Struthio camelus: one gene and its partner. The protein of the gene in region 1 interacts with the protein of each later gene in a pairwise test. Links are inferred from orthologs where the notes say so. Each region holds a gene or a part of one and is shown on either strand. Other genes may lie near its edges. The genes, in order: GUCD1 and CTH.

Region 1 (3,912 bases):
TTCAGTTTCCTCAAATAAGGGTTTGTTTAATCTTAAGCCCAGAGCAATAAAATGAAAGACTCCAGTAGAAACACTGTCCATAGAACAAAGTCTTAAAAAACCCTAATGCTATTGACAAGACTTCCCAGGCCTGCTTTAAACCCTAAAAGAACAAACTCTGCGCTCTTTAGAGCATTCAGCAATCCTGAGTCCACTTCACTACAACGTAGGCATGCAGCAGCAGGGTTTTTTTTTTTTTTAATCCTTAGACTAAAAATAATAGTCTTTAAATCAAAACACAAATAAGCTAGCTATCAACCTTTCCTGGCACAGACGAGACAGCCTCCCTTCCCTCCACCAGAGGCAGCTATACCTGACAGTTCATGTTGTCTTCAGCTTCGATAAGCTTGCCCCGATAGACTTCTCCTGTGTTGGTCTCACATGTGACGATGTGGCCTTCCGCCTCGTGCAGGACTTTGATGGGCACGCCGATCGACATGTCTGCAGAGCTGCGGCTCTACCCCTGGGACAAGGAAAAGCAAAGGAAACGGTCTTTGAAATTAGGTTCTCCCTACATTACCTATGATCTTTTCAAGCGTAAGAAACGGGGGGGGGGGGGGGGGAAGGGGGGTTCCCCCTTGCCCAGAAACACCACAAGTTTTGATGAAACGTTAACAAAGCTCCTCTAGAAAGAGGGCTATGGGAAAAAAAAAAATCACTTAAATATCAGTGGAAGTGGCTGCCTACGGGTTCCCTGCTAGGAAAGGGAAAGGAAACCCGCTCCCCAGCTGGAGGACACCGAACCGCCGGCGCAGGCAGGGGCGGCGGCGGCACCGGGGCCGCTCGCAAGCGCGGCCCGGCGGCAGCAGCGCGGCAGCCGGGCCGGGCCGGGCCCACGGGTCCCGCGCCAGGGCAGCGGGCACTACCACGAGGGGGGAAGGAGGCGGCCCGGGCCCGGACGGCGCCCCGGGCCCGCGGCCTCGTCGCCAGCCATAGCCAAGAGGCCCCGGGGCCGGCCCGGCGCCCACCACCACTCACCGCCCGCAACCGCCTCAAGCCGGGCCCGCGCGCAGCCCCTAATGGCCTCCTCCAGCTTCCCGCCGTGCCCCGCGCGCCGGAAGCGGAAAGCGGCGCTCGCCGGGAGGCTCCTCCCCGTCCCGTCCGGCCCGCCCCGCCCCGCCCCGCCCCGGCAGGGCAGGCGGCGCCTCCGGCGCGCGGGGCCGGCCGGGCCGCGGCGCCCCGGCACGACGGTTCCGCCGCCGCCCGCGCCCGCAGAGGGGCCGCCGCCGCCGCGGGCGCTGCCCGCCCGGCGAGCCGCGCCGAGCCGCGCCGCGCCATGCCCCCGCCGCCCGGCCGCAGCCGGCCCCGCCGCGGCGAGGGCGCGGCGCCCCGGGGCCCGGCCCCCCGCCCCCGCAGCCCCCGCCCCCGGCGCCGGGGCCGGGCGGAGCCAGCGCGGCGCCGAGGCACGGCGGGCCCCTGGGCCGGGCCGGCTCGGCGGGGCCGGCAGCGAGCGGGCGGGCGGCGGGTGCCGCCGCCGTCGCCGCCATGAAGAGCCCGCGGGAGGCCGGGGAGCCGCTGCCAGGTCAGTGCGCCCCTGCTGCCCCGAGGCCCGGCCGCCCCCCGCGCCCACCCCGGCCCCGGCGGGGCGCTGAGCGCGGGCGGCGGAGCGGGAGCGGGAGCGGGAGCCGGGGCCTCGCGCGCTGGCGGCGGCGCTGGCGGGGCGGCCGGAGGCGCGGAGCCGGCGGGGCGGCCGCGGGCGGGGGCGCGGGCGGCCGCCTCGGGGCAGCGGGGAGGCCCCGCCGGGAGAGGCCGCGGGGCCGGGAGCTGGACACCCGGGAGAACTGGAAAAGCACGAGCCGTTGTCGGTCTGTGAAGTCATCAGGCAGAAAACAGCGTTACTTCTTAAATTAACCTGGGGAGCTGGCAGAGGCCCTAGGTAGGAACGAAGAGGGAACTGACTCATGACACGCCGGGAAGAACCAACAATAAAGATTTAAAGAGGGTAGTCCGAGGAGGATCTGGGACTTTTTGTTTTCCCTTTAGGAGACTTACGTAAGAGCACCTTAATCTAGATTAACAAAGACAACTGAATATACCAGCAGGTATACCTGGTCTTCGAAGTCACGATTAAACACGGGCACAACTACGAAAAAATATTTTTGAAGAGTCCAAAATATCTATATTGGCTTGTGCCTACTGTAGGCTATAGCTTTGTTAGGAAATAATACAAAATTATTGTTACGAATGACATTACTTATAAAGTTTTACAAATAAAATTTTATCAAAACTAGACCAGTCCACATGATGTGGAATGCATTTTTATCTTCATGCCGAAGTGTAGTTGACCTTGTGTTAACAGCTTTCAAAGGTCTTTTCTAGTCAAAAGTGAAGGGATTGAGAAAAGCCCTTTAAGACTAGCTTACTCTGATTAAGGTTGAAATAACAGTAACACCTGCAAAAACACTAAGTCATTCAAATTCAAACGATAATGGGTCTTCTGAGACTGAAACCATCACACTTGCCCCAAGCCTATAAAAATGAAAAATGAGGAAGAAAGATGGAATTATGGACTTTCCAGTAGAGATTTTTCTTCTTTCTTTTTCTGAAACCTTGAGAGAATATAACACGAAAGGCCAACTAGTGTCATTTGTAAGGTTCGGTAACTTAAAATTACTCACATAAATTATAGTCCCTGAGGAAAAAAGACACATCTGTAGAAAAGGCTCAGCTCTGTGGGGCTTGTGAGAGAGAGGTGGCTGGAGGAGATCTTTGTTGTGTCTGTTTTATCACAGTCTGGCTGAACACCTTTTGTGGCACAGAAGTACATTCAGAGACTGTTTTGGACACATGACAAAGGATGAATAGCTGTGCCTTATCTACTGCTAGTTAGGAGGGGATACAGCTTTGTAACTAGGGGCTGGTGGATGTGTCACCACCACAAAAAAGAATAAAATACTGCACAGTGATCCAAATATGTAACAATAATATGACATTAAACCAGACACGTGAGGGTTAACTCTACAGAAATACCAAACAAACCTACATCCCCTTAGGAAAAAGGACCTGCCAATCAGGTAAAATAAAAAATGTTCCTAAGTTTCCCCCACTATAGTGCTGAGTGTACCTGCAAGACAGCAAATTGGCTTTGAATGCTGAGGTACGGAAAAACATGTATATGCGGGTTGACATCCTCCATGTTTTACTAAGTGTTGTTTTCACTGCAGTTGACTGCATCCAGTTGAAAGTGCCAGTCATCCAGCAGCTGTACCACTGGGACTGTGGGCTAGCCTGCTCCAGGATGGTACTACAGTAAGTAACTTTTTTGGCTTCAAGGGGTTGGAAATCCCATCCCATGGGAAGTCGGAAATCAATGTCCAGGGAGAAAGGATATGTGGAAGCAGCTGTGAATTTAACTTCAGTATCGTGAGAGCATATAGTCTCAAGTACCTTTGGAGGATTACTGCTGCCAGGGTCTAGCACAGCTCTCCAGCAAGAGCAAGGGAAAATACAAACTAGGACAAATTTTAAGACTTTTTAAATGATTAACTGCTTTGATTGATGCAAAATATCTGACTAGCACTAAGATCTTTGCAGGTTAGCATGCTTAAGCTAGTAAAAGTTATCCCTCTTTTCTGTTATAATTTGGAACTAGCTTTTACCACAGCAATTCTCTTACTTCCATTCTGCGTGTTTTCAAGTGGCTGGTAGGTTTATCCCGTATTTATGAATATATATTGCCCCTGTCCTGTTGAGCCCCCACTCTGTAGGGTGAAGGGTTTCTGTTCCAGGAGTAGTTTCAACTTCAAGGCTATGCACTGTATTGCCCTTTTTTTTTTTTTTTTCTTTAAACTAGTAGCTGTCCTGCTGAACTCCTCTTTCCTTCCACAGAGGAACATGAGCTTAGGTGCAGGAGAAATACCTATTTAGATGTCC
Region 2 (3,912 bases), on another chromosome or scaffold:
AAGCCAGCTAAGAGAAGACAGAGGCATGAAGTCACTGTTTACCAGCTTATTATGGAGTGCTTTATTCAATCCAGAAATTTAATAATTGCATTCCTAATGGGAATGGCTGTGTGAAAACTGGAAGTTGGCAGTGAGTCCAGAAGACTACCTGGCTAGAACTCTACTGAATAATTATTTTACAGGTACAAATTCCTGAGAATGCTGGGCTGTTTTGGTTTTGTTTTGTTTTGCTTTTAAAACTGTCTACCGACATAACTTTGTCCTGTTTGTATTCTCCATCTTCTTAAATTACTTAACTGCTCTCTTCCAAGCACTGCACAATTTAGATAAAATTATCAGGATCAGATGTGGTCTAGAACTGTGCATTTTCTACACGTTTCTGGGTTGCAAGTCCATAGAAACTTCACCTAATGCCTTGATATACAGAAGCTGAATAGAACTAGAGAAATAATTTTTCCTAATGGAATTCCCCAAGTGGGAAATAAATAATGGAGGAGTAATTCCTCATGGGTGTATTCCTCCAGGAAGGATATGGATATTTTTAGTGCCCGAACTGAATTGGCCAAAAAATAGTGAGGAATAAAAGACAAAAGCAAAGTTTGCGCGAAACCCGAAGGTAGCTAGTAAATCAAAACGATATACTGCAATTTACATTTCTTTTTCTTGTAAGCCTGCCTCGCAGTAAACAGGAATTTTTATTTATTTTTAAATTTTTATTTAAATATTTTCTTTAAATTTATTTAAACTTGGGAACAAAGTGTCTCTGATAGAAAGAGGAAAGCAAGCAAGTATGGAGAAACGCTCTTTCCGTGCCCGGGCCGGGGCCCCGCCGGGTTCTTCTTCCGGCGCCCGCGGCGGGGCCGGGCCGGGGGCGGCTCCGCCCGCGCCAATGAGGGGCCCCGCCGAGGGCCCGCCCGCGCCGGGCCCCCGGGGCGGAGCCGGACTGAGTCTCGCCGCGCCGCGCCGCGCCGAGCCCACGGCAGCGAGGCCATGGAGGGAGCCGGCGGCGGCGGCGGGTTCCTGCCGCACTTCGCCCACTTCGCCACTCGCGCCATCCACGCCGGGCAGGAGCCCGAGCAGTGGCGCTCGGGCGCCGTGGTGCCGCCGCTCTCGCTCTCCACCACCTTCAAGCAGCGGGCCCCGGGGCAGCACGCGGTGAGTGGCCCGCCAGCGGGAAACGTCGCGTGGTTTTGTTATCCCCCCCAATTCTCTCTCCCTTATTTCTCTAGGGCGCGGGGGGAAGGGGGGAGTTCAGCTAAAAGCAGCCCTTTTTGGCAGCGGGTCCCGAGGCGAGGGGCGCAGAGCAGTCGGGAAATTCAGCGTTTAACGGAGCTCCCCACCTGCCCGGGACGGGGCAAGGGAAAGGGAGGGGCACTCCCTGGTTCAAACACATTAAAGATGTGTTTCCTTATTTCATTGTTAAAGATGGCGGGGTTGTTTCTTCCCTTGAGGATGCTGTGACTTACCCTTGAAATTCAGGTTTCCTCGCAGTATCTGGTTAGACATGCAAAGCCGTGGTAGGAGAGGAGGATTATTTTCCCCTTTTAAATCCCTGTAGCGTGTGTGACTTCCAAAACTGTTGTTTTTCATCATTTTGGCTCCTGGAGTAAAAGAAACAAAACCAGACTTACTGTAATTTTTTTCTCTATTGGAAAAGATAAGTTTTCCCACAATGGACGGAAAGGCATGTTGTGTGTCAGGGAGACTTTCAATTTGAAAGTCACAGCAAGTTAAGTACTCAGCTTTCTTCTATGGGTAGACAGGCTTCCCTGTGATGCGCGCAAAGGGATTCAACTGAGGAAGCTGACCACCATATGGTGGCAGTGTCTTGGCACGTCAGGTGATTCACGTGCACCCAAAGGCTTTCATGAACCAAGGGAGATAACAATATTTAACCTGGCTACGAGGCCTGGACATTTTATCATTCACACAGACTGGGTAAGAGGTTGCTTCAATTGTCCTTCCAGATCTCATACATTTTCCATAAATATTTTGTGGCGGTCTTTTAGAAAGTACTTGAAGTGTTGAATTATCATAGAGTTCCTGATGGTCACAATGTGCATGCGAGGGAAATAACACAATTTTTCAATTCGTAAGTCGGTATTTGCCCCAAGCCCTAATTCTGAATGTCACTCTTTGCCAGTTGGGCAATAGGAATTTATCTTGTGACCTTTGATCACTTACGTAGACTAAAATTTTGACTAGTTATGAGCTAAAAACAGATTAATTAACTTGCTGAAGAACACAGGGGAAGTAGTCACAAGCTGCTGTTCTTAGGTACTGATAATACAGTGAGCCACGTTCTTACTGGAAGCTCAGTGAGAACAGCCTGTCAGATTCCTGAAGTTGTCTTTAAGCACAAACCCTGAAAGGACAAAAATACCAAGATGCTGAGCCAGGTTCTCTCTGTGACAAGCGCATCCATACATGCATGATTTTTTTTTTTTCTTGTTTAATTTTTCAGTATTCATGTAAAAGCTGTTGGAGTCACACTTGGAACTTGGCATGATTCCATGCCAGGAAAATATCTGAGCTTTCTAAAGAACTTTTTGACTGGTCTTTGTCAGTCTGGTGCTGGCCAGTGCCTAAAGCATTTTTTCAAGCGAAGGGTTGTGGAGAAGGGACACATTCTTTCTGGTAAGAACATGAGAATGAGTGGACTGTGTCAGACCAAAGCCTCTTCTCCAACAGCAACCAGAGGTGGACATCTAGGAAAAAGGGAAAGAATGTGGCAAGCGATATGATATTTCTCCCAGTACTCTCCCAGTAACCATTTTCAGATTGGGGATGTCCAAAAAAGGGCTTGGAGACAGTTCAGGGTTATTCTACTTGTTATCGTGGATACTTAAATATCTTTTGGAGTCTGCTCAGATGATCACCAATGATCACCTTAGTTTCAGTGTTAATTTCTGTGGACGCATGATCAAGATCAAGCATTATAATATCTGGGTCTGAGAGAAACAGATTGCTTTCAGTGAAGTCACCTGGAGTGGAAGGTACTCCTCATTTCACCGGATTGGGCCTCCCAGGCATCATAATTCAGATTTTGGCAGATTATTTGCTTTCTGGTTCGTGTAGATGATTCTAAATGATGTAATCCATGTTCATTTAGATAGTCACTATAATAAGACAAATATTCAAAGGTCGACTGGTGCTGTCTAGAACACAGATTCGCTTTAAAGAATAGAGAAATTAATTTTCTCTAAGTTCTTTCTTCATTAAGATACAGGCTGTGTTTTAGTCAGTCAAGAGTGGTCTAGTTTTTATTTAATTAATGCTTTATTTGAAAAGTGGCATGACATTTAAATGTGTTTTAGATTTTAAATGGATGGCACTCCATGAGATTAGTAAAGCTGTGTTGGTTGTCAGTAGCTGAATAAATATCTAGCCATTGATTTTCCAAATGGAGTGATGAGTGGCTAGTGACTGGAGCTGAACTGTGGACATCCCTTTAAAGCAAAATGAGCTTTTCACTCCAGGAACAGTTAACACAAAATATGTCAATGTATGTTAAAATTCACAGCAGATAAATCTAGGTAAAGCTCACATAAATGTCTTGCTAGAGCTCGTGGGAGTTTAATGGCAAACAGACTTGTAAGGTAGGAGGGATGGATCCTACATTGTGTACAACAGGTTGATGTAGCCAGACCATCCCGCTGTTACTGGAAAGGATGGATGCATAGCCTGAATGTTGAGAATGAGGACCTTTGAAGGAAACCTAGGACTATTATTGTACAAAACTTTCTCTCACTGCTCTCTTTTAAGTTATGTTTGTTTCTTGCTTTCTCAACAGGGTTTTGAATATAGCCGGAGTGGAAATCCTACTCGGAATTGCCTGGAGAAGGCTGTAGCAGCACTAGATGGAGCTAAATACTGTAAGCAATTAATAGTTACCTGAAAAAAAGTTGTCAG

What was found.
Region 2: the proteins of GUCD1 (region 1) and CTH interact in binary tests that used the Homo sapiens proteins (3 or more experiments, as listed by UniProt). The two-hybrid records come from large-scale screens. The link is inferred for Struthio camelus from reciprocal best matches to the Homo sapiens genes GUCD1 and CTH.

The regions. Positions count from the first base shown.
Region 1 is NC_090958.1:8,970,287-8,974,198, reverse strand, and holds the start of GUCD1 (protein GUCD1), read left to right. Parts: upstream 1-1,437; 5' UTR 1,438-1,524; coding exon 1,525-1,561; intron 1,562-1,883; exon of another isoform or gene 1,884-1,915; intron 1,916-3,203; coding exon 3,204-3,288; intron 3,289-3,912. Other genes in the region: SNRPD3 (small nuclear ribonucleoprotein Sm D3), read right to left, coding at 353-478.
Region 2 is NC_090949.1:37,729,350-37,733,261, forward strand, and holds the start of CTH (cystathionine gamma-lyase), read left to right. Parts: upstream 1-924; 5' UTR 925-990; coding exon 991-1,155; intron 1,156-3,793; coding exon 3,794-3,875; intron 3,876-3,912. UniProt on the Homo sapiens protein: Catalyzes the last step in the trans-sulfuration pathway from L-methionine to L-cysteine in a pyridoxal-5'-phosphate (PLP)-dependent manner, which consists on cleaving the L,L-cystathionine molecule into L-cysteine, ammonia and 2-oxobutanoate.